Rhinolophus ferrumequinum: one gene and its partners. The protein of the gene in region 1 interacts with the protein of each later gene in a pairwise test. Links are inferred from orthologs where the notes say so. Each region holds a gene or a part of one and is shown in the gene's direction. Other genes may lie near its edges. The genes, in order: LDOC1, LATS1, AP1M1 and ZBTB16.

What was found.
Region 2: the proteins of LDOC1 (region 1) and LATS1 interact in a two-hybrid assay, tested with the Homo sapiens proteins (2 studies listed by BioGRID and IntAct). The two-hybrid records come from large-scale screens. The link is inferred for Rhinolophus ferrumequinum from reciprocal best matches to the Homo sapiens genes LDOC1 and LATS1.
Region 3: the proteins of LDOC1 (region 1) and AP1M1 interact in binary tests that used the Homo sapiens proteins (3 or more experiments, as listed by UniProt). The two-hybrid records come from large-scale screens. The link is inferred for Rhinolophus ferrumequinum from reciprocal best matches to the Homo sapiens genes LDOC1 and AP1M1.
Region 4: the proteins of LDOC1 (region 1) and ZBTB16 interact in binary tests that used the Homo sapiens proteins (3 or more experiments, as listed by UniProt). The two-hybrid records come from large-scale screens. The link is inferred for Rhinolophus ferrumequinum from reciprocal best matches to the Homo sapiens genes LDOC1 and ZBTB16.

The regions. Positions count from the first base shown.
Region 1 is NC_046284.1:15,202,710-15,209,452, reverse strand, and holds LDOC1 (protein LDOC1), read left to right. Parts: upstream 1-4,685; 5' UTR 4,686-4,884; coding exon 4,885-5,328; 3' UTR 5,329-6,118; downstream 6,119-6,743. UniProt on the Homo sapiens protein: May have an important role in the development and/or progression of some cancers.
Region 2 is NC_046286.1:93,093,425-93,101,500, reverse strand, and holds the start of LATS1 (serine/threonine-protein kinase LATS1), read left to right. Parts: upstream 1-4,972; 5' UTR 4,973-6,057; intron 6,058-8,076. UniProt on the Homo sapiens protein: Negative regulator of YAP1 in the Hippo signaling pathway that plays a pivotal role in organ size control and tumor suppression by restricting proliferation and promoting apoptosis.
Region 3 is NC_046301.1:49,788,729-49,796,462, forward strand, and holds the start of AP1M1 (AP-1 complex subunit mu-1), read left to right. Parts: upstream 1-4,585; 5' UTR 4,586-4,713; coding exon 4,714-4,755; intron 4,756-7,734. Other genes in the region: protein FAM32A, read left to right, coding at 396-449, 729-797. UniProt on the Homo sapiens protein: Subunit of clathrin-associated adaptor protein complex 1 that plays a role in protein sorting in the trans-Golgi network (TGN) and endosomes.
Region 4 is NC_046294.1:83,543,918-83,550,990, forward strand, and holds the start of ZBTB16 (zinc finger and BTB domain-containing protein 16), read left to right. Parts: upstream 1-4,034; 5' UTR 4,035-4,583; intron 4,584-4,712; exon of another isoform or gene 4,713-5,038; intron 5,039-5,149; exon of another isoform or gene 5,150-5,304; intron 5,305-7,073. UniProt on the Homo sapiens protein: Acts as a transcriptional repressor. Transcriptional repression may be mediated through recruitment of histone deacetylases to target promoters. May play a role in myeloid maturation and in the development and/or maintenance of other differentiated tissues.

The DNA.
Region 1 (6,743 bases):
TGCTCTCACCTTAGAGTTCCTCGCAGGACAGAAGTACTTGGACTATAACTCAATTGTACCCTCAGGATGTTAATTCATGGAGGTGATTGAATGACAATATGGAGCAGCCAGTGCCTCTGAAGGAAGCTTTTTTGTTATATTTCCTGAGGAGAGAGGGCGTGCCATATCATGCAGGGCCACAGAGGGAAGCATCAGATTTTAGTCAGGAGATAGAAAGGAGTAGGGGGAAGACATACGCCAGAGCCAATATTGGAGTTTCCACAGGAAAGAATAGGCAAGACTGGGGAAACAGTTTAAGATTAGCTAGTTTAAATCATTCCAGGAACTCTGGGGCAGAGTGGCTGACCCTAGTTGTCTGGTACTTGGCCCTGGGTTGATTTAGGGCAGGGGAAGTATTGACTGGATATGTGAGAATTAGATAAAGAACATGTTTTCAGACTAAGGGCTGTGGATCACAGGGGAGATTTAAACCACTTTGGCCATTAATTTGGCCCTGTAATTAATAGACACCAAATAGACAAATACAGAGGCTAAGAAACAGAACAGGACCATGGATTCATCACATCATATCAGATCTTTCGATGTGGGACTATGCTTTTATCTGTAGCATATCATGAGTGTCTTCATGTTTCAGTTCTCTACTGTCATGAAACAAATGATCCCAAAATTTTGTGCCATTTTATTTGCTCATGATTCTGTTGATTTGGAATTCGTGTAGGGCTTAGCCAGATGTTTTTTTGCCTCTCTATGTAGTCAGCTGGAGTCATTTAGTCAGCTTCATTCAGGCAGTGATTCTGCTGGCCTGGAAAGTCCAAGGAGGCCCTTCATTCTCATGTTTGTTTGCTGCTTCGCTCTTCCTCCACATGACCTCTCTTTATCCATGTGGCTAACTTGAGCTTCTTCACAGCATGGCGGTCTCGGGGCAATTAGACTTCTTATCTGGTGGCTGGCTCTGAGTAGGGAATATTCCAAGTGGCAAACACAGACTCTTCAGATCTTTAAGGCCTTGCTTCATAAGTTATAAGTTACTTCCATCATCCTTTATTTGTCAAATCAAGTCACAGAGCCAGCCCAGATTAAACAGGCAGGGAACATTGTTTCTACCTCTTAATGGACTAAGTGGCAAAGAATCTGTGGTTATCTTCAATTCTCCACACTCATTCTGCCTCCTAAAAACTTTAATGTAGATCAAAGTAAATGGCCCATTTGAAAGACAGGCCTAGTCTACATTTAAAACCAAACAAGTAAACACAAATTATGACAGGCCGCTCTTAATATCTCTAACAACAGATTTAACATGATGCCAGATACTTTCTAAAACATATGAAAATACCAGAAACAAACCAAGTGCATAAGCTCTTGTATGTTCAAAGTGACGAATTATATTGAAATAACTAGGAATGAGAACAACAATTTGTATAATAGTAGTATAATATACTATAGGCAATAAATTCTATTTTATAGTAATATAAAAACATATACATGAATACAAATTAATAATAAGACATTAGTTCATGAAAATCATCATTCAGTTATAGAAATCTGATTTCCCAGTTCCATATCTCTGGGACTGTGAGTATATTTGGCACCATCCGTCTCCTACTTCATCTGAGAAACTGAACAGAATATTATAATATTATATTAGACCCGGTCTTATGTTATATTAAGACCCGGTCTTATATTAATTTTTGCTCCAAAGGACGCATTAGAACTGATTGTCCGGCTAGGTCTTATTTTTGGGGAAACACGGTATCTCTGTGTCTCCTGACATGTAAGGTTTGACACATATATGTGTTAGCAAAACTATGTATATTAGGATTCTGCAAACATTTTATATGTATATACATATATATGTATATCTTTATCCATTCATTTGTTGGTGGACACTTTGATTGTTTCCATATATGTCTATTGTGAATAACGCTGCGGGATCAAAGAGGCAGCCCAAGTCAATCGCTAGAACCGTGTGGACAACAGGAAGTGTGTTCCTGAGAGTAGAACTCTGGGCATCTTTTCCTGTAGTAGGGTCTGGACATGGAAAGTGGAGCTGGATACTCACTGCTGCCCAAAGCAGGTCCACCTTCCACCCTGAGCTGTGAATGGACAGCATGGCCAGAAACCTACCACTGACATTTCCTGTGCCTGTATTTCATCCACTGAACATTTATGGAGCACCCAATAAACACTTTCAGATGCTGAAGGTCAAAGGATGAGTGAGAGAGGGTCCCTGCTTGGCCTCCAGGGGCTTCTCATATAGTGGAGGAACTCATATGACAGGCGAGCCCAAGGGCTCATATTCCTTCCCACCTGCTCTTTTCCCCGCCCACCGAATCAGCAGCCTGATCCTTCCTCCTCTCCTTATTGGACCTTGGCCCTGTTTCTCTCCTTTCTCTCAGCCTCTTATTTCCATGAATGCCCATTCAATTAAATTTGATTGTGAAAGGACTGAAGAGGGTTTTTCAAAAAATTACTTAGCCATTTTTATTATGTCAGTCATCATTTCACAATGGAGACTGATTCTTGATCATAGATAGAACATACCAGACAGTTTGAAGAGTATTTTTGGACACTATGCAGCCACCCCTTCTAAATCTTATTTCAACATTATCTGCACCCTGGGATTCTTTCATTCACCACACATTTATGGAGCTTCTACTCTGGGCCAAGCATTTTTCCAGGCATTAGGAATACAGCAGCTAACAAAGCAAATTGTCCACATAGACTTACATTCTAAAGTGGAGGCAGACTGACGAACAAAGTAATATATGACATGATGGCTGCTAATGAAAGGGTGAAATTCAGTGAATCAATAATGTAGTTACACTTAGCTAGTTTGCAGTTAGGTCCATCCTGACATTCAGCTGTTTTCTCTGTTTCTCCGCTCACTGACTGACTTAAAAACTCTGTTTTGTTCCCTTTCTCAAGGCTACCCATACCTCATTAATCCATTTACTCAACAGAATCCTAACCTGAAAAGAGCGATTTCTTAATCCTCAGGCGCCTGGACACTGGAATCCGTTTTGCAACTCCCTTGCAGTTTTTACTGGTGACACATAAAGCCCCAGGCCATGGTGGCCAAGTCCGGAGATAACATTATCTTAAAACAGACCAGACCCCATGAACTGAGGACAGTCCTGGGACCTGATTGACCCACCCGGCCTTTCCTTTGTTCTTCTCGTGTTCCTATAAAACCTTCTGACCGGTCTAGGAGCGAGGAGATGGACTTTGGACAGGAGTCCGCCATCATCCCAGAATGCTGGCATTCTGAATAAACCTGCTTTTCTTTTCACCAACCTTGTCTCTCCATGTTTAACTTTTTCAAGCGGCAGGCAGCCGGTCCTTAGCACGGTATCGCTAGTCTGATAAATGCCATGTAAAGAAATGAAGCATGGTGAGGGGTTAGAGATTACTGGTAGAGAGCAGGGTGCTAGATGAGGTGGTCAGGAGAGTCCTCTCCAAAAACATTAGGAGGTGGAGTCAGGCAGCTAACAGGGGAGAGCCTTTGCAAGGCAGAAATGATAGGAAGTGCAAAGATCCTGAGGCCAGAGCTACTTGATGCGTATGAAAATCAGTAAGGGGGACAATATGATTAGAACAGAGCAGGGAATGGGAAAAGGCACAGAGGGTGATGCAGGGCCTTGACTGCTATGACCCAGATTTTGCTTCTTCTTTTGAGTGAGAAGAAAAAACCGTTGGAGGGTTTTGCACAGGGAAAACTTTTGTTCTAAAGAATTCCTGTACCTACACTGTGGAGAATACATACACTGGAGGAAGAGAAGAGTGAAAGCTAAGAGATTAGTTGCAGCAATCCAGGTGAGAAAGGAAGGCTGGGATCAGGGTGGTAGCGGTAGAAGTGACACGAAGTGATTGAATTGGGGATCTCTTTTAAAAGCAGAGCCCACAGACAAAGTTGGCTCTAAGGTCTTGGACACAACTCAGTTGTCAACAACTATTGGAGTAATCACATTCAAAGTAGAAAAACAAAACCATTTAAAAACACAAGTCTTCATTGTTAAGCAAAGAATAATACCCAGTGGCCAAGGGACACTAATATTATGAAGTGAAATAGTCAAAGATAGCAGGATGCCTGCATATGTTTGTCGGATAATTTTGCAGAACTTTTTATACTTCGCTATTTAGAAAAATAATAATGAAAAACGACAGATACACAATATTATTTCCCAACTAAAGAACAATCCCTGTTTAAATAATATTTTGTCTGAAAGACAGGACTCCTGAGGGTCTTTCATTACTCGGAAAGAATGTGTGACTCCCGCGTTGCGGCCAGCAGTGCTAATAGCTGTCTGGATGGATGAAGTTTAAATAAGCAAGAAAATGTGTTAATAAACATCATACAAATGGAATCTAATGGCCACAGGCCCAGTAAGGAACATTGAATTGGGTGACTCAGCTGGGATGAAGGGTGGTTAACCCTTTAAACTTGAGCAGGTTGGCCCTCTGTGAGAGACGGGTCTTAGGGCTCGCTGTGTCCTGGCTAATGCCTGTCCCACATACCCTGCCTTTATCCGCCCGCCGTCAGACCTACCAGCCCTGGGCCCCGGGAACCTGCCCGCCCCTCCCCTGGCCACGCCCTCCGTGGTCACGTCGCCGCGGCCCTGCCCACCCCCTCTGACCCCGCCCCCACGCAGCGCCAGTGTCTTCTCTGGACACGCCCCCCCTCCTCCCTGGGCCGCGCTGGCGCGGGGGCCGCGCCCGCGGCTTTGTGGGCGGGTCTTGCGCAGCCGCCGGGACCCCTGCGTGCACGGCTCTCCACCCCTGGCCACCCGCGCCTCCGCGGACACGCACTTCCTGCGAGGCCTCCCTGCGCACCTTAGGCGAGCCGAACCCAGCCGAGCCCAGCCGTGCCTTTCCAAGCGGTTCGCCATGGTGGACGAGCTGGTGCTGCTGCTGCACGCGCTCCTGGTGCGGCACCGCGCCCTGAGCATCGAGAACAGCCAGCTCATGGAACAGCTGCGGCTGCTGGTGTGCGAGAGGGCCACCCTGCTGCGCCAGGTACGTCCGCCGAGCTGCCCGGTGCCCTTCCCCGAAACGTTTAACGGCGAGAGCTCCCGGCTCCCCGAGTTTATCGTGCAGACGGCGTCTTACATGCTTGTCAACGAGAACCGGTTCTGCAACGACGCTATGAAGGTGGCGTTCCTAATCAGCCTGCTCACCGGGGAAGCCGAGGAGTGGGTGGTGCCCTACATTGAGATGGATAGCCCCCTCCTAAGTGATTACAGGGCCTTCCTCGAGGAGATGAAACAGTGTTTTGGCTGGGATGACGACGAAGAAGACGACGATGATGACGAAGAAGAAGATGATTACTAGGCCTGGAGACCCTCGGGCCTAAGGGGGAAGGGCTCTGCACGCCGCCACCTCCCTCCCCTCCTTCCTGCCCCTCCCGGAGCCACCGTACTCCCCCTAATCCTCCGATCTTCTTCCCTCCCCCAACCTCTGGTCCTCTCCCTCATCCCCCGGAGTGCTTGTCTTTGTTCCAGAAATTGTGCTCCAATTACGTGCTGGGGCTGGGGGTTTGCTCTGAAGCGCGCTGCCACCCACTCTGGCCAGCCCTGGGAAGCACCCCTGCAAATGTGGACTGTGTCCTGAGCCCCAGCGCTAAGGCAGGTCCCTGTTACCAACTGGTCAGATTATGCACTGCCCTGCCAACTGCCAGGCCAACATCTGCCCAGAGAACTACGCTGCCACGACACCACCATCCACCACGTTCTTGCGACTGACCACCGCCTTTGGAGATAAGGACCAACCTACAGGATGCCTGAGTTGGCTACAGCTCCTTGGACATTTATTTGGACAGCTCACAACCCCCGAAGGGGCCAGTCTTTCGACCTGGTTAGTTCCCTACCTATTTCCAGAGTCCTCCCCTACACCACCAGATTGCTGCAGGGGCCTAGTGTGCCTGGCAGCCAAATTGTTGACATTTCTTTTCTCCTATGCACTACTTTTGCACAGCTGTCATTTTCTTTAAAAATTGCAGCAGTCTCAAAAGAAAAACAGGCACTCAGCCAAGCTTCTCAATACTACCTGGAAAAAGCACTTGCGTTCTTTTCAATAAATATCAAGCACTACGAAAAAAACAAAAGGAGTGTCTTTTAATGGTTAAGTGCTATCACTGGCCCCTACCACTTTCACTCGGCCTCCCAGTATTCCCACTGAGATCAGGTAACTTAGTTCAATCCCAGAATTCCCCACTGTCATCTCTAGGCTACAGAGGACAGCTACCATAGGGCTTTATAGGGATTCTGGTGCTCCCCCTACTAAGGCATTTCTTAAAGCCCTGGTGAAGGGAGTGTCCTCTGGGGCCTCCAGGGTGGCATGGGGTAAGGGTGGCCAAGCGGGTAGCACACCATCTCTAACTGGGACACTTGGGAGTGAAAGGGGGCACTATTAATAATTAGGCTGGGACACCAGGCATGAATCTGGACACATACAATGTTCCTATCTTCCTGAGCCTTTGGATTCTTTCCTCAACCCTGCCAGGGAAATTCGGCCCCTTAATCCTTACTGCCTGTGGGGTGCTGTGGAATTCAGGCTTTAATTAACAATGGAGCACAGTATTATCATGCCCCTTTCAGGTGCTTGAGCTAACATTACATTCTGGATCCTGAGTAAGTGCACCTTGCTAAATAGAGCCTGATCTTAACATTTTATTCTCCTTGGGCAGACACCCTTAGAATCCTCACCCATTCATGTGCCCCAGATTCCTGCCTAAGAAATTGGCAAGA
Region 2 (8,076 bases), on another chromosome or scaffold:
TTGAGTGGGACTCAAAACATCCCTGTATAAAAAGGTAGAATGATGTTAATCGTGTGTTAATAAAATGATGTGAACCTACTATGAGACAGCCAATTTACCTAATTTGCATTATGTTGGGGTACTTTACCGTAAGGTTTCACTAAATAAATGAATTTTCATATGCTAAACTGAAATATGCTTCCATTTGTCTTTTTTCCTCAGAAGCCACAAAAAACATTCACATATTCCAAACTATATATCGTAGACTCTTTGGGGTAAAACTTTTTAATCCGTCTTTTTAATGGTTTCTTGTGAGCAACATTTCCTTCCCAGCCTTTCTTGCCCCTTCTTGGCTAAATCTTGCTTACCCTTCTGGACTCCTGTTTTCTCAAGAAAGCCTTCGTTGGCCTCAGACAATCTGGGCTGTATTGTACCGATTGCCCACTTCAAAAGCCCACTGTGTAGAGCTCTATTGTGCTTCTAGCAGTGTGTTAAACAGCCTGCCTCCCTCTACTGGACCACAAGCTCAAGAACAGGGCCCATGTCTTAGTGTTATAGTAACTATTTAATGCAGTATCTGATCCAAGTAAGCACTAACTCAGTGCAAACTGAACTGAACTCAATCTTGTTTTCCCTTTAAAAAAATACTGCCATTTGCCAAAGTCCATCTTTAAAGTATGACTTCCAAAATGAACAATTTTCCAGGTGGTGTCTGACTTGCTGAGAGTATGACAGAAATCTTACCATCCTGATTCTGGGCACCATATCTTCTGTAAAACTGTCTTAGCTGATTTTAACAATTCTGATACTTGTTCAGTTAGACTGCTGAACTAGTTGGACTTAAACCCGTAAATTATCAGACATGATACTCCTAAGCCATACTTCCCATATTCTTGAGTTAATGCACATGGTTTTGATCCTTTACTATAGGTCCATCTTTCCTGCTCCAAGAAGACAAATTTTATTTTTGTATAGAAAATAATTAGCCATCTCTTTTCAATCTTTTCTGTAAGAGCTAATTATTTTCAAAATTGCTCATCACGCTTTCTGCATTCTCATCCCACTGGTTAGGAGATAGGTTAAATGGACTAAAGTGCTTATGCCTACTCTTAAGAGTCCTCTCAATTACCAGTGATACATGAATCATTGGTATTTGGCTACAGTCACTGAAATATTTATAAACCAACCTAATTTATTGACATTCTGCCCCATTTATCTTGTTCACAAGGCTTACTGTGAGAAAACATCTATGCTGTAGCTATCATCCTATCAAAAAAATTGGCCTAATTTAAAAATTCCTTGTCCTTTGTGAAAATACCATAGTATTATGGAAATAACCTTTTAATAATCCATTCTAGATTCTTGTCCAAGAAGCATACTGAGTTCACCAGTGTACGGTGTTTATCAAGACTTCATTTAAGCTTACAGTATCAATGTCATATGTAGCTCAGACTAATTCGATGAAGCAGTAGCAGTGCTCTTGTTTTCCAGATGTGAAACCCAGGGAGATCTAAACTATGACACGCAACTATTTGAACTATTTCATTGACGTCATTCTTAACTACGATTAATTAAATGGCGGTGTAGAAGAACTAACAGCTACATCTGTGACTAGTCATCCTAGCATCAAAACAATTCCCAACAACGTTTCACTATACTAGAGGTGTACATGGAAGAAAAAAATGAAGGGATGGGCATGGTGAGAAGAGAGAAGTCGAATGACTAAAATCTAGCTGATCACTTAAATGTTTTTAATTAATGAAAAATAAACTAATGTTCAGTTCCAAACTGTCATGAGTGGACTTTGGGGGAAAGTAGCTGACAGACCAGCCTAACAAAGCCATCAGAAATGCATTCACTGTCAAAACAATTTTTGTGCAGGCCATGGCTATATGAAGTTAAACTGTAATACTAGAATATAAGAGACAAGATGGCATAAGTAGGTCAACACCGTGCCTGCTTCCTTCTGTGAACACATTAAAATTACAACTAAATTATAGAACACTCAACCTGCAGAACAATCTGAAGTCTGGCTGAACAGAAGTTTTATAACTAAGGATATAAAGAAGCCCGTGGAAACTGGTAGGAGGGGTGGAGATGTGGAACAGGCCCCACACCTGTATGTAGTGGTTGGGAATCAAAAGGGATATCACAGCTGTGAAGGTTCCCCCTGGAGAAGCAAGAGACCACAGCCCCACGCCGCCCTCCACAGCCCGAGTACTGTTGCCGGGAGGAGGAGCCTCCACAACATCTGGCTGTAGAAAACAATGGGGATTCCGACCATCTGGGTGGGATGTAAGTCTTCAGGAAACCCAGATTTCCTCTTAAATGGCCCTCACACAGACTCACTCACTCATAGGCACTTACCTTGGGCTCCAGAGGAGGGACAATGACTTGGGGGGCATCAGAGCCATACGGGGGGCAGAATGAGGTGTGTGGCCTCAGGGCAAGGGTTGAAGGACAGTCATTTTCCCTGTGAGGAGGCCTCCCGTGCCGCCAGAAGGCGGGTGCCATCTTTCCTGTATTGAGCCTGCCCCCTACAATTACAGCCAAATCTGAATCTGATTGGTCTCGTGAGCTCAGATGTAAAGTACAGCATAGGGAATATAGTCGATAATATGATAATAACTATGTATAGTGCCAGGTGGGTACTAGTCAGGAGGATCACTTCTTAAATTATATGAATGTCTAATCAATACGCTATACACCTGAGTTAATATAATATTGAAGGTGAACTGTAATTGGAAAATTTAAAAGGGGGAACGGTGAAAGGGTATAAGAGGTCCAAATTTCCAGTTATAAAACAAATAAGTCATGGAGATGTAATGTACAGCATAGGGAATATAGTTAATAATATTGTGATAGCGTGGTATGATGTCAGATGGGCTTATAATAGTGATCACTTCTTTAGGTATATAAATGTTGAATAACTATTGTGTACACCTGAAACTCTTATAATATTGTATGTTAGCTGTATTTTTAATACAAATCTTTTAAAAACACTAGTCTGTAAAATAATAGCTGCAACAAATCACAACAGTTTTTACCCCTGGATAGTATGGAATGAACTTAAATTTAAAATCTCTGCCATTCAGGTCCTATAAGCAATGATACACTAGTAACAATGAGCACACCTAGAAACCAGATTTGGTTTCTAATGCCCTTCTCCAGTAAAAGGAACCAGGGCTCCTTAAAGGGGTAGGATATACACAAGATAGCCTGAAGCATCTTGTAGTGCCAGAAAATAAGGAAGTTCTAAAAAAAATAAAAAGCCCACAATAATGGGAATATATCAAAGGGACACAGAAGCCAACCGGAAGAGCTCCCAATAACCAAGGTGGAACAATTTGATCAACAAAATAAATAAAATATCCAAAGTATAAATATCCATGAGTCCACATTGATATAAACGCTTGAATGAATGGGGGCGGAGACAAATCTCAGAATTCCAAATAATTTATGTAGATTCTCTGCCATCAAAGAGGCAGCAGAATACAGCACTCTTCTCCTTCGGTGTGGGCTGCTCATAGTCTAGAGCCTTCCCCTAAGATTGTATGAATTCTTGGGAGGGCTAATGCTGTCAGGGCTACCAATAGTCTCCAGACTTCTTCCGTGTGTGCTGCTCCTCCATTCCTCCATTCATCCGAGCATGAAATTTGGTCCCTACATAATGTTGGTAAAAATACAATGAAACCAAGAAATGCCACTTCCATGAAGCACTGAGGAGCTGAGAAAGCTGAAGCTGGATCAACGGTTTTCCATCACAGCAATACAAAGACCTTCAAATACAATGGCAGATATTGCCATTCTCAGATATCCAGCACCCCTAGTAAGCATTTCCCTGGTCTTTCACCTCCACCTCCACCTCCACCCCCACCTGCAGTCTCAGACCCTTTTCAAATCTTGTAGGTTAGTTCTCTCCTGATCACTCCTCTCCCTTCCCGGCCCTTTTGTCCCCCTACTTCACAGAAGTAAATCTCCTAGTCTTAGAAAGCACAATTCACAGAGCTCCTTGAATTATCTAGGAATTTTCCCGTACATGGTGGCCTGTGGAGCTACTCACCTTTATGCTTAGAGAGAATTGAGAAACTTCAGTGAGGAAGTTCAATGGGTTGGTGATAGAGATGATGACCCTCTGGAGGTAGGATGCTATTCCAGATACATAATCCTGGAAAGGGCAATCAGGACTGTGAATTTATTAGATTCAGATCATTTATATAATTTTGAGGCTGAAAGGGACCCTCGAGGTTACTTAGTTCTCCCATTGAAGCAAGTTATACCTAGGACTTTTAAGTGACCTTGGTTCATATTCTCTATTTCCTACAAACTCTGCTTGTGGAACAGAGTTTCAATCAAGTGCTCTTAGAATGTAATCTTTTTTTATTATTATTAATAGTTTCAGGTGTACAAAACAGTGTAATAGTTAGACATTTATACCCCACAAAGTGATAACCCCCTTCCCTAATCTACTACCCCTCTGACATCGTATATAGCTGTTACAGTTCCACTGACTCTATTCCTTATGCTGTACTCCACATCCTGTGACTATATATACATATATGTATTAAATTATAGTTGAGATTCATTATTATTCAGCTTCAGGTGTACACTGCAGTGGTCAGGCACCTCCACTGTCCATGAAGTGGTCTCCTTAATAAGACAAGTGTCCATCGGATACCCTATAAAATCTTTATGATATTATTAATTATATTCCCCAAACTGTCTTTCATATCCCTGTGGCCACCTTGTGGTTAATGACTGTGCTTTCTAATCCCCTCACCTTCTCCCTCATCCCCACCCCCTACCAGCTAGCAACCCTGTTTTTCCTCTATATCTCTGACACTGTTTCTGTTTGTTTTGTTCATTTATCTATTCTTTAGATTCCACATATAAGTGAGATCATATGGTATTTGTCTGTCTTCGTGTGGCTTATTTCACTTAACATAATGTTCTCTAGGTCCATCCATATCATTGCAAATGGTAATATTTAGAATGTAATCTTTTTAATAGAGGTTTTCATATTTGAACTTCTGGATACAGTAGCCAGTAACTAATTTAACATCAGAAAAAGAAGTCATTAAGTAAAAAAAAAATTAATAGACTCTAGTAGGAAAATAATGAACGGGGGTATTTGGAAATACCAACTGCATACATTTTCAAGAGGCAGAATTGGCCAAGGTGCTCTTTACAAACATCATAAACCCAATGATTCCATCCTAAATTTCCAATTCAATTTAACAAAAAACAAAACCTCTATTTCAGTCACCGTTATTACAGTTATCGCAATAGTGACTTTCTCTTCTACCGATTTGGTTGACAGATAAAAATCTTTAAACTCTGTTACTCTTTCTTGGTTCAAAATTATCTGGCTGACTCAGAAAATACTTAAAGTCACGGATTTACTGGGGGAAAGCGTGCTAAGCAAAAATCAATTTATTTCAAAGCTGCCAGAAATCCTGAACCTTTACGTCCACAGCGAAGTTTCAGAGAGCAAATCATTGCTGTTTCCTTCTGAGAATTAAGCTTCTTTGAGAGGCGCATCTTTATTCCATATCTGTCCATTGAAAGAGCTCACTTGAAAAAAAGACTGAAGTACATGCGTGGGCTTCAGCGGGCGAGAGCTTGGTCCCACGAACCGGGGCGAGTCACCTGGGCAGCGTGAGGCGGGGGCGACGCGGGGAGACGCTGGCGAACTCGCAGAGAGGGCAGCGGGTGGAGGGCAAGAGACCGCAGGCGGCGCTCTCCAGGCGGCCGGGCGGGCAGAAGCCCCCAGTCCTCGGGCCCCCGCGCAAGCGACGCCGGGAAATGCCCACATCCGGGAAACCTGCAGCGGAGTGCGGCGGCAGCGACACCGAGTGGAAGGCAAAATGGCGGCGGCGGCGGCGGCCTAGTGCTAAGGGGAGAGCCAGGTCCCCGCGACCCTCGCGACGGGCTGCGCTGGCCTGTGGCAGCCCCCCGGCCTCTCTCCCCGCCCTGCCCCACCGAGGATACTTGGGGTCCCTGGGAGGGACTCCGGCCGCCTTGGCGCCCGCCCTCCGGCCCGTGGCCGCTGTCCAGGAATCCCGCACTCCGTTGCTGGTAGGTCCGGGGCTAGCGTAACGGGTGGGGCGCATCTCTCCTTCGGAGGCCGAGTTGGCGGGGCGGTGGCCGCCGGGGCCCACGCCCATCCCGGCTGGCTGGGCTCCAGGGGCTGCTGCGACTGGCGGGCCGGCTCGGCCCGGTGCGGGCCTGAGTTGGCTGATTGCATGGACCTGAGAGGAGCCCTGCCCTGGGGAAGCGAGGGTTGGCCGTGCCGGGGGCTGGAGGAATAACCCCAGGCTTTGCGGCCTTGGAGGTGCAGGTTAAGCTGGAAAGAGCCTGCCTTGCTGAAGGCTTTGTGGCGACTGTCTGCCACCTCCATCCCCGTCCGCAGCACGCAGGGATCAACGGTGTTTAGGAAGGAAGGAAAGCGAAAGGTGGTTCTGAAGGAGAATTGCAGTGAAAGAGCTACAGTTCTTTGCAACCAGAGGGACCCGGTCGGTCCTGAATATACCTTGAAGAAATCCTAGGAATTTCTATGTACAGTCCACTGTAATGTTAGGTTACTGTTCATAGTTGGAAGGGGTGGGAGAGAGGGAGGGCTCTTTATGGAGTAGGAAGGAGTGTGTATATAAATACAGAAAATGAAGAAAGGAAAATTAAGGGAACATTATTTATTACAGCTTCAAGAAGAATTTGTATCTTAAAAAATGCCTCTCAGGTGACTTGATTTAACCCCATTCTCTGACTTTTTTAATTGAAAGTTATTTTTTAAAGGAACAAAATTTAATAGTTTGTCAACCCATATGTTAATATGACTTAAAATATATGTCATCACGTAGAAGTTATTCATAAACCTAGTAAGAAATATAGTCGCACACACAAATAATACTGTGCCACTCCAGTTTGGGAAGTGGATTTGAATGTCTGGAATCAGGAAGCTTGTCAGGGCTTTGTGGATTATTTATTGAAGATTTAAAATTTTTTATCAAATTTCCTCCATGAGGAAGAAAAGGTAAGAATATAATTGTTCGTTGTAATTACAATGAGTGTTCTCTGCTAAGATATCTACATTGTGATTTAACTAAGGTTATTTCTTTCCTTTAGTAAGTTGACAGACAGGTAAAATGGGCTAGTTGATTCCCTAAGGCAGTGGAGGAATTTGACTGATTTAACAGTAAAAGAAGTAGCATTGTGTTCCTCTGATCAGCTGCTACTGCAAGAAACTAGATCATGGTACATGCTGGAAAGGTGCAGTCTTTCTATGGCTAAATAGTTATTGAACATGCCATGCCACTCCCTAAAAGCAAATAAAAAATTTCTGCTACATTTTTTTGGGTATGATATCATCTGGATTTACTTCTGTAGTTTGAGTTTTTATTTTTTGGTTTTTGTTTTTAATGCTATTCCTTGATGTTTTATATAAATATGTATAGCCTTGGAACAGTTCCAATTCTGGTTATTTGGTTTTCACTTTAGATGTTAGGTTTAGATTAGTGGGGGATTTTTGTAGACCACAAAAGTTATTTAGTCATTGAGCAACATTTTTGTCACATAGACATGACAGTCATTTTTCAGCATGTAGATAAAATAACACTGATTGTCTTCACTTTTGATGAGTTAATTCTTAGAAAGCGAATTGAAGGATATATCATCATACAGAGATTCTTGATTATTGCTGTCTAAACAACTAAGACTGCTGCTAAGAAAGAAACAGTACATGTTACTGTTGCTATTCTCATAACTGATTTAGTCAGAGCGTTGAGACAGGCCATCTTTTTTATAAACCTAATTCAACCCAAGATAACACTCTGAAATGTGTTTTCCTAGGTTGGACAAGATATCAACAGTATTTCTTTGGATTTACTGACATTTGTTGTCATTTGATGAAAGTCTGAACTTTCAAAGAAATGTAGGTTTTGTCTGTTTAGTCTAACCAATTTCATTGTTCGTTCAAAGAATGAGTGAGTCCTGATCCCTGCTCTTAGGAAACTCATTTGAGTATATAGGTGTGCTGAAAGAGCCCTGAGCTGGTTCAGGATGTGTGGAATCCTTTCCTAACATGACTTCCAGCTGGCT
Region 3 (7,734 bases), on another chromosome or scaffold:
GCAGTGTCACTCAAGCATCTACTATGTGCCAGGTCCTTTCCTCATTTTTCATCCTTCCTCAAACCCCATCTGGGACTTTTTTTTCCTGCAAAATGAGATTTCTGTCAATTGCCCAAGGAAGCAGGAAGCACTTGTACAGCTCCCAGCAGAGTCTAGTCGGTGCTAGTACATTTCCTGCCACTCAGACCAAAGGGCAGCTGACCTGGGTTTCTGGGGGAATGTGTTGTAGCCAAAGGTCTGGTCTGTCGGACCAGCCTGAGTGCAGCGGAGGGAACTGAGACCTCCAGCTGTTTTAGGTGTGAGAACCAGGCCGGCTAGGGCTCGCATCTTCCATCTTGTGCTGGTCTGGGCTGTATTGAACACATGACTCACCTGCATTTCTCTCCTCTTTTCAGCAAATGGAAAGGATCCTGAAGAAAGCATCCAAAACCCACAAGCAAAGAGTTGAGGTAAGTCACGTGCCCAGTGCTGAAGGCTGAACCATGTAAGTCCCAGCTGGGCCCAGGCAGAGGATCCGATGGAATGTCAGCCAGGAGGGGGTTTACCCAACCTCTTTGGGGTCCTTGAAGAGAGATGCCAGCGTTCTGACTGCGATAAGGCCTGGCAGGGTGGCTCTGAGAGGAGAGGGCTCACCGAGGGGAGGCAGGGTGTGGAGTAGTGCGGGTGGTAGTGCTCCATATCGCTGCGTGGTGCTGTGCTGATGCGGGCTTTCTCTTCGGCTTCCCTAGGACTTTAACAGACACTTGGATACGCTCACAGAGCACTATGACATTCCCAAAGTCAGCTGGACGAAGTAGCCTCCCCACCTGGGCTATGGAGTGACACCTTGGGGAAACAAGGTCAAGTTGGGTTCTATTTGGTGCCTTTGGTATTTTTTAGAAACATTCTTTTATACACACCATGGCGTCTCCTGCTGAGACAGTGCTTTTCAAAGCAGTGTGCCCTCATTCTGGAACTTGATTAAAGTAAGACTATCCTTTTGGTCTATGTTAGTTTCTCAAGAGCACATTGAAGATGAAACTTTGTAGTTTGGACTGGAAATTATTGAGAATTTACCCAGAGATTAAGGTTATTTCTGTTGCATCTAACTCATTTTGACATCCAGCCAGCTATCTTTGCCTGGATGAAACTGACTTCAGAGGAGAAGGAGCTGCAACGTGCAGACTCGCATGGAGCCCTGCATGTGGGGCCCGGCATATGTTGCCCTTTTGAGCTCCCTCTAGCTTGGGGCTTATGCTGTTCCATCCAGGGCCCAGGGAAGCCACTTGCAGCTTGGTGGCCTTCAGATTGCTTCCTCAGCCACCTGGCCAGGGAGAATAACCACCCAAGGCAAGGATGGAACAAATGCCTTGTCCCTTTCTGAGCTGAGCTGGTGGCTGGCATGCAGCCTGTTCCCCCAGTATCCCCATTCCAGACATGTCCAGTGGGTGTTGCCATGGCAGACATTGCCAATCGAGTACCATATTCTTTGTAATGGAACCCGGACACTGCCTGCCTCACTACCCTCAACCCTGGGCTCCAAGTAGCCCCGTTTATTCATAGTTGGCACATACATAATACCTATGTGGCATTCCTGGCCTAAGGACACCTCTTGGTGACGGGACCAGGGCAGAGCCTTAGCACAGACAGACATGGGTGCATTCAAAGGGGAGGACCCAACTTCCAGTGCTGGAGAGCCAGGATCTGTGAGGGACTGTATGTCCCCACTGCATGAGAATCAGACTGCATATGCTCCTGGGACAAATGGTCTCTGTTGATAATAGATCTAAAAGAATAACAAAGTCAGAAGAGAAAATCTGAAGTATTGGTTTTGCAGCTCTAACATGTGAACTGCAGAATAAAACAAAAACCAGTTATTAAATATAAGTCTGAGTGTCTTAATTATAGGCTGTTTATCACTAGAAACACTGCCTTTGAATTTATTGCACATGAAAAATATGCGTACTACAAAACCACTGTTTGCCCTCAATTTGGAGAAAATTGGATGACATGTTTCCACCTGTGGTTCGAAACCCACCTAAAAGACATGACATACTCTCATTAGCAGTGGGTCCTTTGGGCAGACTCCCCCATTGCCTCGTGGAAAGTCATATTCAGATCTTTTCTGTTCATGAGCCAGCAGTCGGGGTCTGTGAGCATGACGTGCTGTGGAAAGTCAGTATGGTAGAAGATAAATATTCCAATTCTCCCTGCCTAACAAACCGCTCCAAAACGGGTGTAGTTTAAAAACCATAGGATTTCTCTCTTCACTATTCTGTGGGTTGGTTGTGCTCAGCCAAGTGGTTCTTCTGCTCCATGTGGAGTTTAGTTCATTTGTGTAGCTGGGTCGACTTGCCCAGAGCCAGAAAGTCCAAGATGGCATCTCATTCTCCAGAATCTCTCCCCACACAGGCTATTTCATTGCTCAACCCAAGTCACATCAAACTCAGTCTGGGCGGGAACTACTCTAGGGCATGAACAACAGGAGACATGGTTTATTGGGAGCCATCACTGTTACAGCCTACCACAGTGGCTCTCAAATTCGGATATGTTAGACTTGGGGAGCATTAAAAACCACTGACACTGCCTGGAGTGGGGTTCAGTCATTGAGAGTTTTCAGAGCTCCCCAGGTGACCCTAATATACAGCAAACTTTGAGAAACCCTGATCTACCACAGTAAAGTCTTTTCTGAGATGTTGCAGAGGCTAAATCTGGCTTATACATTAAATATAAATGCCAAGGGTGAAATTCAGATGTGGCTCTGAATTTCCCCACATAAGGAGCAAAGGACGTTACAAGTAATTTATGTGTGAAGTGTTTACTGTGACAGTCCTCTTGGCATGTAGGAGTCTGATTCCTCAAAAGACGTTTGTCCACCCAGCCCCTGTGATACCTAGTATTAAATATCTAAACGCCCAGAGCAAGCTTGAAAATGTTCCATAATGAGAGACGTCTCCTCTCCTGGCTGGTTTTTCTTTTTGCCTTATAGGTTTTGGCTTTTTAATTAAAAACAGACATGATTTTCTAACATTGCCATAAATTGAGCAAAGTATGAGGGTAGGTGCAATAGGGTTTCTTACAAGAAAACTGTCAAAATGTCTATCTTGACTGCTTTGTGCTAGAATGCTTCCATCCCACGATTTAGTTAGCAGTGCTCCAATATTCCAGTGTTCTTGTCTGGATTTTCCTGCACTTTCATCTCTATCCTAAGCAGAGGACATATTGCAAAAGCCACCTTTCAAAACCCCAGACAGAGATAGGAGGGAAGATCAAAAGAGAGTAAATTGTTCTGATATTGCAGGGTTGAGATCCCCAAGGCACTGTGATGGCTCATTGGCACAGAATGTAGGCATTTCTCCACAGCCCAAATGTTCATGAAAGCAAATGAGATACCATTCAATTGATTAATCAGGGTTCACAATTTGCATTACCCACAACTGAAGCAGGGCCTGGTTGGGACCTCTGTAATAGAGGCCTTGCAACGTCCCACCTTTCCTTGACCTATATATAGCTTAAAAATAGATCATCCCCCTGCAGCTTGAGCTCAGAAAGTACCCTGTCCCACCCAGTTCCCTCCCTGTTTTAGAAAATTACCCTGAAATTTAGGATTAATACCCTTAGGCTTATTGATAACATTCTCAATGGTCTACCGGGCTACTCCCATCTTTTTTCCTACGTTGCTGAGTCCGCCACCAGAGAATCATGTTGCCAGAGGGAAGGCTTCCTGCAGACCCCCAGAACTTTCACATAATCTCTAGAGGAACGCCCAGATTTTCTCTTAAATACCCCAAGCTGGTCTGAGAATATTAAGGCAATTTTTGGAGGTGTTAACCCGCTGTCTTCTCAGACCACCAGGGCTCTGATAATAAATGCTTATTCCATGACCCAACTCCTGTGTCGGTCTAGTGGTTGAGCGAGCCGTGCACGCAGCTGGAGTCCTGAACTCGGTTGGCCCTGGGTCTCTCGGAGGCACTCTGAGTTCAAGCCGCAGAGGGAAGCCAGCCAGGAGGGGGGCAGGGCATCCCGGAGGCATTCTGAGTACTGGGGGCCCAGCTGGGCCCTGCTTCACCACCAGTGGGCACTAATTACAGAAATAAAACCCGTGGTTTTCAGATCATTCCAGGCAATAAACAGGCTCGCCTGCTCACGAATGTTGACAGTGACAGGTGACGCTGTTCACTTAGCTCCTGTTGATAAGGGTTGATTGCTATTCAGAGTTGTTTGCCCTCTTTCCAAGGAACCACCACCTTACTCCTCCCCATAAACCGTATCACAATTGGTGACTGCATATTAATTTTTTTCATACACTCCTCCACCAGAATAGGAGTTTCACAGGCCTGGGCCCCATGTAGGATCAACCACCGGGACCTCTCACCTAACTTGGTTCACACGAGAGGGTTTCCAGCTTTCAAGGCTTCGTCGCCCAGCTGGGTAGTTAGAGGGTGCCCTGTATCAGTGAGCTGCAACAACCCCGACGCTATGCGTCTTACTTCCGGGATGCTTTCCGAGCGGAAAATAACGTCACATAGGGCGTACTACGCCTGCGCACATTCCGCCCTGCGCCTGCGCATTCCTAGTAGCTCCTCCCTCGACCGGACATAACGGTCCGCGCGCGGCTCCCCGGACCGGAAGTGGAGTCGAACCGTCGCGGGGCGTGCCTGGCCTTCCTCAACGCCCGGCAGTCCCCGCTGTCGCCGCCGCCCTCGGCTATTGCCGAGGCTTCCCGCAGCCGCCATGTCCGCCAGTGCTGTCTACGTGCTGGACCTGAAGGGCAAGGTACGGAGGGCTCCCCACCCTCCCCGTTGCCAGGCTGCCGGCGGGGACCTCGCCCTTGGGGACCCACCCTGTTGCTAGGCAGCCGGTCAATGGGACCCACCCTGGTCCTAAGCAAAGAGACCGATAGGTCTCACCTGAGGGTCCCATCCTGTTGCTGGGTTGCCAGGCTGCGGTCTCTGGTCTACGAGACCTGCCTTGTTGCTAGGTAACCGGCCGCACGACCCCGCTCCCCCTGTGGGCCGGAAGCTCAGGCCTCCTTGGGGGCTGCGGAGACGGCGAGCAGCATCCAGCTTCTAAGCCAGGCCTTCCGGAGGCAGCGGCTCCCCGACCCTTGGCCGGACGGAGGTGGCAAGGCGTGTCGGGGCCAGTGTGCCCTCTGGGAGCACAGCCGCTTCTGTTTATCTGGTTATTTCTCTGTGCTGGTCTGTATGAATTTCTTAACGTTCGTTGTGACATTAATTTACAAAGGTTAGGTGAGGTGGGTGGTGGGCGAGCCATTTTACAGGAGAGAGAAACTGAGGCATGAAGAGGTTCCATAACCCGCCTAAGGTCGTACCCGTCACAGAGATGTGGCAGGTTTAGGAGTCGAACCCAGAATGATTTGTTCATTCAGCTGTTAATTTGAGGAGCACCTCCTAGGTGCCAGGCAGGGTGCTAACTCTTAGGCCATTTTGAGCAAAATCCGAGTCAGGTGCTGTCCCTCTGGAGCTCCCAGTCTGGCGAGGGAGAGGCACACTGATCTAAAAAGCACAAATAAATGTAAATTGCAATGATTTTGCAGTGAAGATACAATAGGGAGAGTCAGCCTCAGCTGGTGGTCAGGGAGGGCTTCCTGGAGGGAGTGATAAATCAGACTGAGATATGAAGGAGGAGTTGAGCATAACTAGGGCTCTTGAAGCCTTTCAGAAATTGGTTGTTGCCTTTCCTGGATGGAAGGCAAGTGAATGTCTGGCCTCTTACAACTGGGAGCAATGAGAACAGGTCCAGCTACATTAAACCTTAAGTCCCACATCGATCAGTGAGAGAACTTACTGGGTGTTGGGCTTAGGGGGGGCAGGCAGGAGTTAGCTCAGAAGCAGGGGGGAGTCAAGTTGGAAGTGGCTGTCCCTTCCTGCCCGACTCCCCACCCCCAGTACTTTCCCAGAGTCCCTTGAGTAGGTTGCCTGCCTTGGATGCCACCCAGAGTCAACAGCCTGTGAGTCCCAGTGTTGGGCTTCCGTCCATGGCCTTAGAGGCAAAGAACGATACAAGGTGCGCAAGGTGGGTGCAGTGTTTCCTGAGTCCTGGTAGCACATGTTCTTGCTTCCACTGTGGCCACCATGTCCCAAGAGGTCCCACAGGCTTCCTGTCACAGCTCACTTGTTCCTTCAACAAACATTTCAGCAGCACCCAGCATGTACCAAGCCCTGTGCTGACTATCTCACTGTTACTATGGAGTTAGGGCTGAGGTCAAAACTCATCTCTGCTGCTCAGTGATGTGACCTTGGGCAAGTGCCTTCACCCCTCTGAGCCCACTGTCCTTGCAAGTTCCCCTGGGCCTGGAGGTCTGGCAGGGGGGTACATGGATCCAGATGGTCAGATCCAATTAGTCACATGGGCATGAACAAAGCCCCAGGTTATATAATTACCTAACCTCAGTTTTGGTTGGAGAGGTGGTTACAAAATGCTTCCTGGAAAAGCTGGAAAGGTGATCAGGTGGCAGTCAGGTGGACAGGTAGGAGTTGCAATGGGCCCAAGGGGCAAGGAGCAGCTGAAAGTCCTGGGTAACACGAGCCTGGAGGGTGGTGCCAGGAGGACTGGCCGTTGAAGATGTCCAGACAGGAGTGAGGTCCATAAGGGGCCATTTTGATCCCAGGAAGGAGGAGCCACCAAAAGAAGATTATAGCCCAGGAGAAGCATGGCCAGTCGGCCTTGAGGGACGCTCCCGAGCAGCCACGGGCTTCCTTCCCATTTTCAGCAACCGTCACGTCATTTATTATTCCACTCCCCATTCCCCACGGAGCTCGTGTTTTGGAAGTTTGCCTCTAGCGCAGACTTCATTTAATCCAAAATAAGGTCATGGCACATGAAGAAATACATGACCATGTGTCTATCTGCCAACCAGAGCCTCTGATCACCAGGGAATCCAGTGTGGCCACACTTAGCTGATAGAAAGCTCTCCCCTTACTTTCCTTGCTTCTCTGCAGCTTCTGACACCACTCCCACTGTCAGGGCTTCCGCTGGCTCCAGGTGGCTGCACTCTGTTTGCCTCCTGTTTCTCTCAGCGGTTGCAGGTCCCTTCTCCCCTGGAGATGTTGGCCTATCAGGCTGGGGCCTACGTATAGCTCCTGTACTGTCTTTTCCTCAGACTGGCTTTGATTCATGTCAGTGTGCCAGTGACTCAAATTTGTACCACAGTCCAGAGCACTTATCTGGAGACCCACTGGCCTCTGGGACACAGTGGAGGTCCCACAACCACTGCAAACTTGGCATTTCCCAAAATGAACTCCCGCCACCCCCCCCAAAGCTGCTCGCTCTCCATTTCAGTGAGTGACACTGCCATCTATGGGACTGCCTGCATTAGAGACCTGGCCATTAGCCTGGCCTCCTTTTCATCACTTTTTTTTTTTTTTAAAGATTTTATTGGGGAAGGGGAACAGGACTTTATTGGGGAACAGTGTGTACTTCCAGGATTTTTTCCAAGTCAAGTTGTTGTCCTTTCAGTCTTAGTTGTGGAGGGCGCAGCTTAGCTCCAGGTCCAGTTGCCGTTGTTAGTTGCAGGGGGCACAGCCCACCATCCCTTGCGGGAGTTGAACTGGCAACCTTGTGGTTGAGAGCCCACTGGCCCATGTGGTAATTGAACTGAGCACCAACCGCCTGAGCCACCGGGCCGGCCTTTTTATCATCTTTGTATCCATGTTCACTGCACAGACATTTCCTGAGCAGCTACCATGGGCCAGGCTCTGTTCTGGATGTTGGGACAAAGCGGTGAACGAGACA
Region 4 (7,073 bases), on another chromosome or scaffold:
ATGCATACTATATGGAAACCGCACCCCTTGACAGCTGCAAAATTTTAGTTTTGAAATGGAGGCCCTCTTTCTCAGAACAAAGCAGATTTCCAGAATCACCCCAAACTATTCAATGTTGGCGCTGGGCCTGTATGTTTGTGCTTATGTGTATCCAAAAGGGAAAAATGCCTTTCTCTTATGCGTAGATGCTCTTTCAAAGACAACACATTAAGACATGATGCCCAACAGCTGACAGCAATGGTTGCTATGTCTCACCCCAAAGCTTTGTGAGGAATCCCATAAAACCTGGCACATGGTTTGTGACACCCAGTGAAACACTGTGCTTCTTCCATAATAACCTGAGCCCTGCTGCCTGTCATTAAGGGACCTCTCTTATTAAGCATCTCTTTTTAAATGGCTGCCATCATCTGGTCCCAGTGTACATTAAATCCCATTATAATTATAAACACGCTTTCCCATAACATCCGTTGCAGATTTCATCCACACTGCCTACCCCCTCAGGGCATCTTTGCACTAATAACAACTCAGATTTGCTATTTGAGTTGACAACATTCGGTCCCAACACCATTTGCAATATGCTGGGGGAAGAGAGTAGAAAAAGCTTTCTCTTCTTCAATCATGAAGATTTTGGGGTCCTAGTGACTGAAGACCTCAGCGGCTAAAATAAATAACCTCTCTTCTTCTCCCTTTGAAAAGTCACTTTCTGCCCTACAGATGAGAGGAAGGGCATACACAGAACCTGGAAGAGAAGCCCAAGTGTGTAAATGCCACTAACCAGGACTCCACGGGGATGGGGGTGGAGAGGTAGCAATTAGTAGTCAAAAAAGCCATCCTCTTATTTGGTTTTCTCAGGTTCAAGTAACCAGAATCCACATATCACTTGATTATTTCCCCCCTCTGTTTTTTGGAGCAGGCATCTAAAGAAGGGACGTGATAGAATTAAATGTAAAAAAAAAAAAAAAAAAAAAGGCAAACCAAAGAAAACTATCAATATATACACTGAGGGCAAATTCGACTCTGCCTAATTTTTGACATCATCTGCATCTAGCTAGTAGATATCTGCAATAATGACCTTGAAGCATTGTAAGATCCTTTGCCACTAGAAAAGGGCACAACATGTTTGCTATTATCTTCCCCCAGGGGTCTCCAGTGGGGTAAAGATCTGAGAGTGACAGCCTGGTGCAGCCTCCAGTAGCAACCTGGAGTTGTCAATTGCAGTGGAGACTACTTTTTCCTTTCAGGGGCTTCACTGCCTGCACCTCTCCCTGAAAACACTTAATTCCCCATTCATCACAAGATTTTGGGGAAATGCAAAGTAGCTTCTTCTCCTAAAGGTAGGAGTCCTTGACTTATCTATCATGATAGGAAAGTTTACCTTTACAATTTAAAACTATTTTTCAAATAAGGAGTTGGAACAAAATGAGTTGCAACATTCCATTAACAATCAGAGTAGTCAAAACAACACTATAACCTTCTTCCTGGGCATCTGTTTAGTTGAAGTTTTACTGTAATTCAAAACTCCCTCCTCCACTTTTGCCTGAGATTTTGAGGAAGGAAGGAAAGTGCAGAGATTCTGGGGGCTCTAAGTCTATTTACCTGGTGGTTTGATTCAGTGGATAACTGTTTGGGCTTCAGCTTGGTGGCTGCTGCACAGAAGATGAGTAATAAGTGGAGTAAGATGAAAAGTAAAATTAAAATCCTTTGTTTCCCTTTTCTATCTTGCTAGAGGCTGTATAATTTGCAGGTTAAGATCAGGAGCTTTGTAGTTGGAATGGTCTGATTTAAAGTCTCAGCTCTGATGTTTAATAGTTCTGCAAACTTGGATAAGATACTTAATGTCTCTGAGCCTTTTTTCTCATCTGCAGAAATGGGGAAAATAATAGTACCTGTATCAATAGGATTGTTACAAGGACTAAATAAAACAACATAGGTAATGTGTTAAGATTCATAGTCAGTATTCAGAATGAGGTATTATTCCCACTGTCCCCTTCCTGTAAGATATCTTAGTCCTGATAAACCATCCTCTTCCACAAACTGAGCTCTGAAAGGCTGCTACCAGTGGGAGGTGTATGAATAAAAGTGATGAGGGAATAAGAAGATTTAGCAATGGAATTCCATCCACAGGTCAACTCATCTCTTCCCTTGTCTCCAGCATGACCTCCCTCAGGCTGAGGTCTCTTCTATTTTTAGGGACTGGTCAGAACTGATGTCCCCGCTTCCCTTACCACCCCTTTCAAGAAAAAAGTAAAAAGAAATTACAAATATACGAACATGAGAGAGACAGAGACAGAGAGAGAGAAAGAGAGTTTTCTCTTGTAATTTTCCATCCTGCTTGTTTTTAGGTGATGCCATATGAAATCTCTGAACTGGGGATTCTCATCAGCGTTCCAGGGACCCAAGGACATAGCTGTGGCTATAAATGGTGCCAGTTTTGGTGGTAGAGCTGCTGCCGCTTTATCTGGACCCAATAAACCTTATCAAACTGCCTTGCAGCCAGCCTTCAGCGCTAAGTGGAAATGCTTGGAACCCAATGCTGGCACTCAGCCCACAGCCTCGCCTGCCTTCCTCCTTTTGTTACCTTCTCCACCTCTTAAATTCAGACATTAATCTCTCTTTAACACTTACTAACAAGGGCTGGGCTTTTTAATAGGCAGAGTTTATGAAGCAAGGGAGATTTTCACATAGAGTATGGCATGGAAGGTGGGGGAGTCCAGGGCCATTGAGGAACTGTTCTTTCTCTCCCATTGTTTCCAAAGATTCCCTTTTTCTAACTTAAGGATTAATAGAAGATTAGGATCAAGGGCTAATTTGTGCTTCAGCTACTGCGCTGGGGAGGGACTGGTAGTGGATATGGACTGCAAGGCAGCAACCTTCAGCAGGTACCGCCTGGACAGAAGTGCAACAAGTTTAATGATTCTTCTATTGCCTTGGTGAGGCATGGGGGGGGGGGGTGTCTTTTCTCCTCTTCTGGCATCCTTCCCTTCTTCATCTCTTTCCAGACCAGTTTTCTTCACTTTCTTGAAATCCCTTTCATCTTACAGACCACGAAGACCCTAGCTAGAAAAATCGTCTATAATGGGGATTCCTCTTTATTGTTAAGCACAAGGCATCCCCAGGGCTTGGGCTTTCCCATGCCTGGGCAGGTGTTGCTGTGTACTCTATTAGAGGATAACGTTCTTCCTTCACCTGGGAGTGCGCTTCTCTGCCCTCTGCTGTCCTCTCCCCAGCACTTTCCCTGGGAGTAGGAGACAAGAGCGACACTTGCTGGGATGGAATTGCCTGTCTTTGAGACTACCCCATTAGCAGCTCTTGTGAACCCAGAACAGTTATGATTTGTAAACTCTGCCTCCTAGTGTTTTGCACCCCGAAGAGGATTTTTTGTCTCTACTTGGCTTCTGCCACCTTCCATAACCCTACAGTTCTTGGGGCCTGACTGTCCGTCTGGGCAGTGCGGAGGCACCGAGGCACACATGGGGATGTGATTATACGGAAGTCTTGTGGAAAAACTTTGACCGACCCGCTTGTCAGCGGCAGAATGTGGAGACTCAAGACTCCGTGATTGAAGCGCCGCGTTGCTAAGACTGCATGACCTCTGGGGCTGACTGTCCTGAGACCCAGGGATGGAGCTCTCCACCCCACTCTCCTTAGCGTTAGTCGGGCACCACGGCCTGCCTGCACGCAGAAAAGCGCTTGCCACCTCTTGCCCCCTACCTTCGCCAGGCTCAGGGAGAAGGCAGGGGGAGAAGGGGACTCTCTAAGGGGACTCTCGACCGCCTGAGGAAGGGCAGATTTCTTTTGGTTGCTCTACCTCCGGGTTAGTGATAAGTCTACCCTCTAAAGTGGAGCGACCAGTTGAGAAGAGGAAACACTTTGGGGGGCCTTCAAGCTTTCACCGTCCCCTGAAGCCTGCGCTGAGCAGGACGCAGTCCTTGGGAACTCTTTCCAACCGGGTTCCTTGGCGGGGGGGGGGGGGGGGGGGGGGCAAAGAAGAGGGCATGCTCAAGTCTGAGAGGGAGAAGAGTTTCTCTCAGGCCTCGACCTCAACCCCCAGGGGTCTGATAGCTGAAATGGGACGTCCACCTCCAACGTCAGATCCCCGCGGACCCTCTGGCACTTGGTTCACCACGGTCAGCGAAATCTGCGTCTGGAGACTTCTCGCAATCCGGCTGCTCATCGCCCGGAGGCACACCGCAGCCGGGAGGCACAGAAGGCCTGGGCTGGGGCTGGGAAAGCAACCTTCTAAAACCGACGTCGAAGTACAGGGGATGCAGTCCCCAGCCCGGAGCAAAAGTGAAAGGCGAGAGGACACACACTGAATTGGGACAAACAGTGAAGTCAGGGACAAAACTCCGCGCCTGGAGAAGCTGGGGGAAACAAAACCCGTGTCCAGTGGAAATTAAAAACCTCGGGGTTGAAGGTGGAGGCTGATCCCCGCACCTCACCTCCACTGCCCCCACTAGGCTTCCGAGTCCCTGGCTTTCCTCTCCACGATCTCCTTTCCTCTCCGCTAGGCGGGTGAGCGGCGGCCGCCAGCGCCCCAGCAGCAGCTAGATGTCAGGCGAAGCCCGGAGCGCCGCGCGCGGGTAAGGGAGGGGAGGGGAGAGAGAGGGAGGGAGCGAAGGGAGGGGAGGGGTGGGGCGGGGAGCGCGCGCCGGCTTGGCCAGTGCGGGGGGGGAAGGGTGGGCGGGCTGAGCTCGGGGACGGCACGGGAGGGGGGAGCGAAGGGGGGCAGCTGTGGGCAAGGAGCCCGGCTCGGCCGCCAGCACTAAAGATGGAGAGGCGCCGGGGCCTCGTAGGGGAGGGGGCTCGGCGTTGACGTGAGACGCGGCGGAGGCGCCGAAGCCGGTGGTGATTTGCTAACCTCGCAGCAGAGAGGAGTTGAGGGCGATGAGAGCGGGTACTGCGAACTGCCGGGCGATGCCGCCGCTGCCGCCGTGATACCGAGAGCAACAGTTCCCCAGCAACACCCTTCCCCGACACTGGCACACACCCCCCAAGAGGCACGCACACCCACCCCACAGCGCCCGGCTTGGCAGCGGTGAGTGAGGGGCTAGGGAGGGGCGCACCGCCCAGCGAGAGACGCGCGCCAGGGCGCCCCTGAGGCTGAAGAGGTCTGGGGGCGCCCTCGCTTCAGCCACTCGGCCGCTGAGCTTGTGCCTGATTTTATTCGGCTTGTTCCCTTCCTGCTGCTGCAGCCGTCGCCACCGCCGGTTGGGGGTCGACTAGAAGGGGGAGCCCTGGCTGTCAGCTTGGGCACAGCTGCTACCCCAACCCTTCCGCACCCGGGCACGGTCGGGGTGAGAGGTAGGGGCAGAGCGGTGTGTGGGGGCTGAGGGCGCGAGCGGAGGGTTGGGGATCGGGAGGCTTTGTACCGCCGGGGGCCGGCGGAGGAGCCGGGAGCGGGTGGGTGCTCATATGTATGCGGACCGGTGCGCGGTCGCGAGATAGGGTTGTGGTTTGTGTGTTTATTCGCCGGCCGGCTGGGAAGCCAGAATCGGGATCCGTGGAGTGGATCTGGGGGCGGAGGAGAGCAGGAGTGGGACTCACTTGGGTGTTGTTTTTCTTCGTAAAAACGTGGTGAGCCCTTTTTTCCTTGGTTGGACTTGATTCCCCCTGTTTAGGGGGGAGGGCGGCCGTGGCGGAGCTCCGGAGGGTCTTCAGGGCTCCGGGCCCTCCTCGGCTCTCGGCGGGACCGGCCGTGGCGCCGGAGCTCGCTGTGCGCTTCCGGCCGTACTCGGTGGGTGTCCCAGCTTTGCACCTGATGCGTTCGGGATGCCTTTCCCACCCCGGCGCACCGGCGGCTCGCACGCGCAGCCCCTGGAACACTCCCGCAAGCGCTCAAAATGCGCACGGTTTCGCTGGCCCGCCGACCCGCTGGAACGCACAGACGCACTGTGCAACGACTCACTCGTCCGCTCCACGGGACGCGCGCACCGTGCCTGGGCCGGGCAAGGCGGCTGCTGGAGGCTCCAGCCCCGCGCGGCCTGTGACCCTGCCCGTCGCTCCCGGGGATCACGGCCCTGGGTCGGACAGGGAAGGCTGGCGGATCCCTTCTTGCCTTTCCTCCCACAACTCTCTCCTTTGCTCCCACAACTCTCGGTCCGGCTTTTGTGCTTTCCCTTCGCTGCGGGGTGGGTCCGCCTCCTAGCCGCTCTTGCCCCGGCATCCAGCCCGCCCGGACTCTTGCTTTTCGTCCGGGTCTCTTTCGCTTTTCCTCTTCCCTAGCCCGGCTCCCGTTCCTTCTGCTGTCTGGTTCCCCGGGAAAAGTTGCTTCCCCAAGTTTGCCGAACACGTTTCCAACTCTTTGTGGGGGTGGCTGGGAACTAGGGGTGTGTGAGAGCGCGATCGATCCCCGGAGCTCGAGCGGGTTAGCGCCGGCTTTTCACCGCGGCGCAGGGCTGGGCGCTGCAGTCAGCGCCGGCCTGAGATCGCGGGCGCTGAGAGGCGAGTCGGGGGGGACGGCTGACCGAGGGCACCCTGATTTCCCTCAGGACCCAAGGAGCTTTCTTGTGGGAAGGAATTCGGGTAGCCCAGCTTCCATTCTTTCGATTGCTCCCTCCTAGTTTTCTGAAACCCTGAAGTCTGCGGGAAAGCGCATAGTGGTTAAGCAGGGATGAATGGCCATCCCATCCTTGATGGCCTTAGTCCCCACTCCAGGCTGGGCAGCAAAAGTGTCTTGATTAGCAGTCCTGTTAACCCTTTCTGCATGAGATTTGTGGCTCTGGAACCCATAAGGCTCCTTCTGGGGGCTTAGGCAAGTTGTTTTGGAAGAGTGAAGGAGAACCCCTGCTTTGCTTTGCTCCTAGGTCATTTTACTGAAATACTGGTCACAGCAAGGCAGAGGCTGGGAAGGACGTGGCCTGTGAAGTCTTTTTAACACTCTTTAAACAGTTCAGAGTCCCAGGCCCTGTTACTGATCCTGAACTGCGCCCTGGGAGCGGCCTTTGTTTCGCAGCCCTGTCTTCCCTTCATACTGGTTGTAACTCATACCATAGAGGCTGGTGCCAATATTGCTTCTAGCACCTCCAAGCCATGTCCAGCATCAGTTGCTGCTCCTAGTCATAGGACTTGCC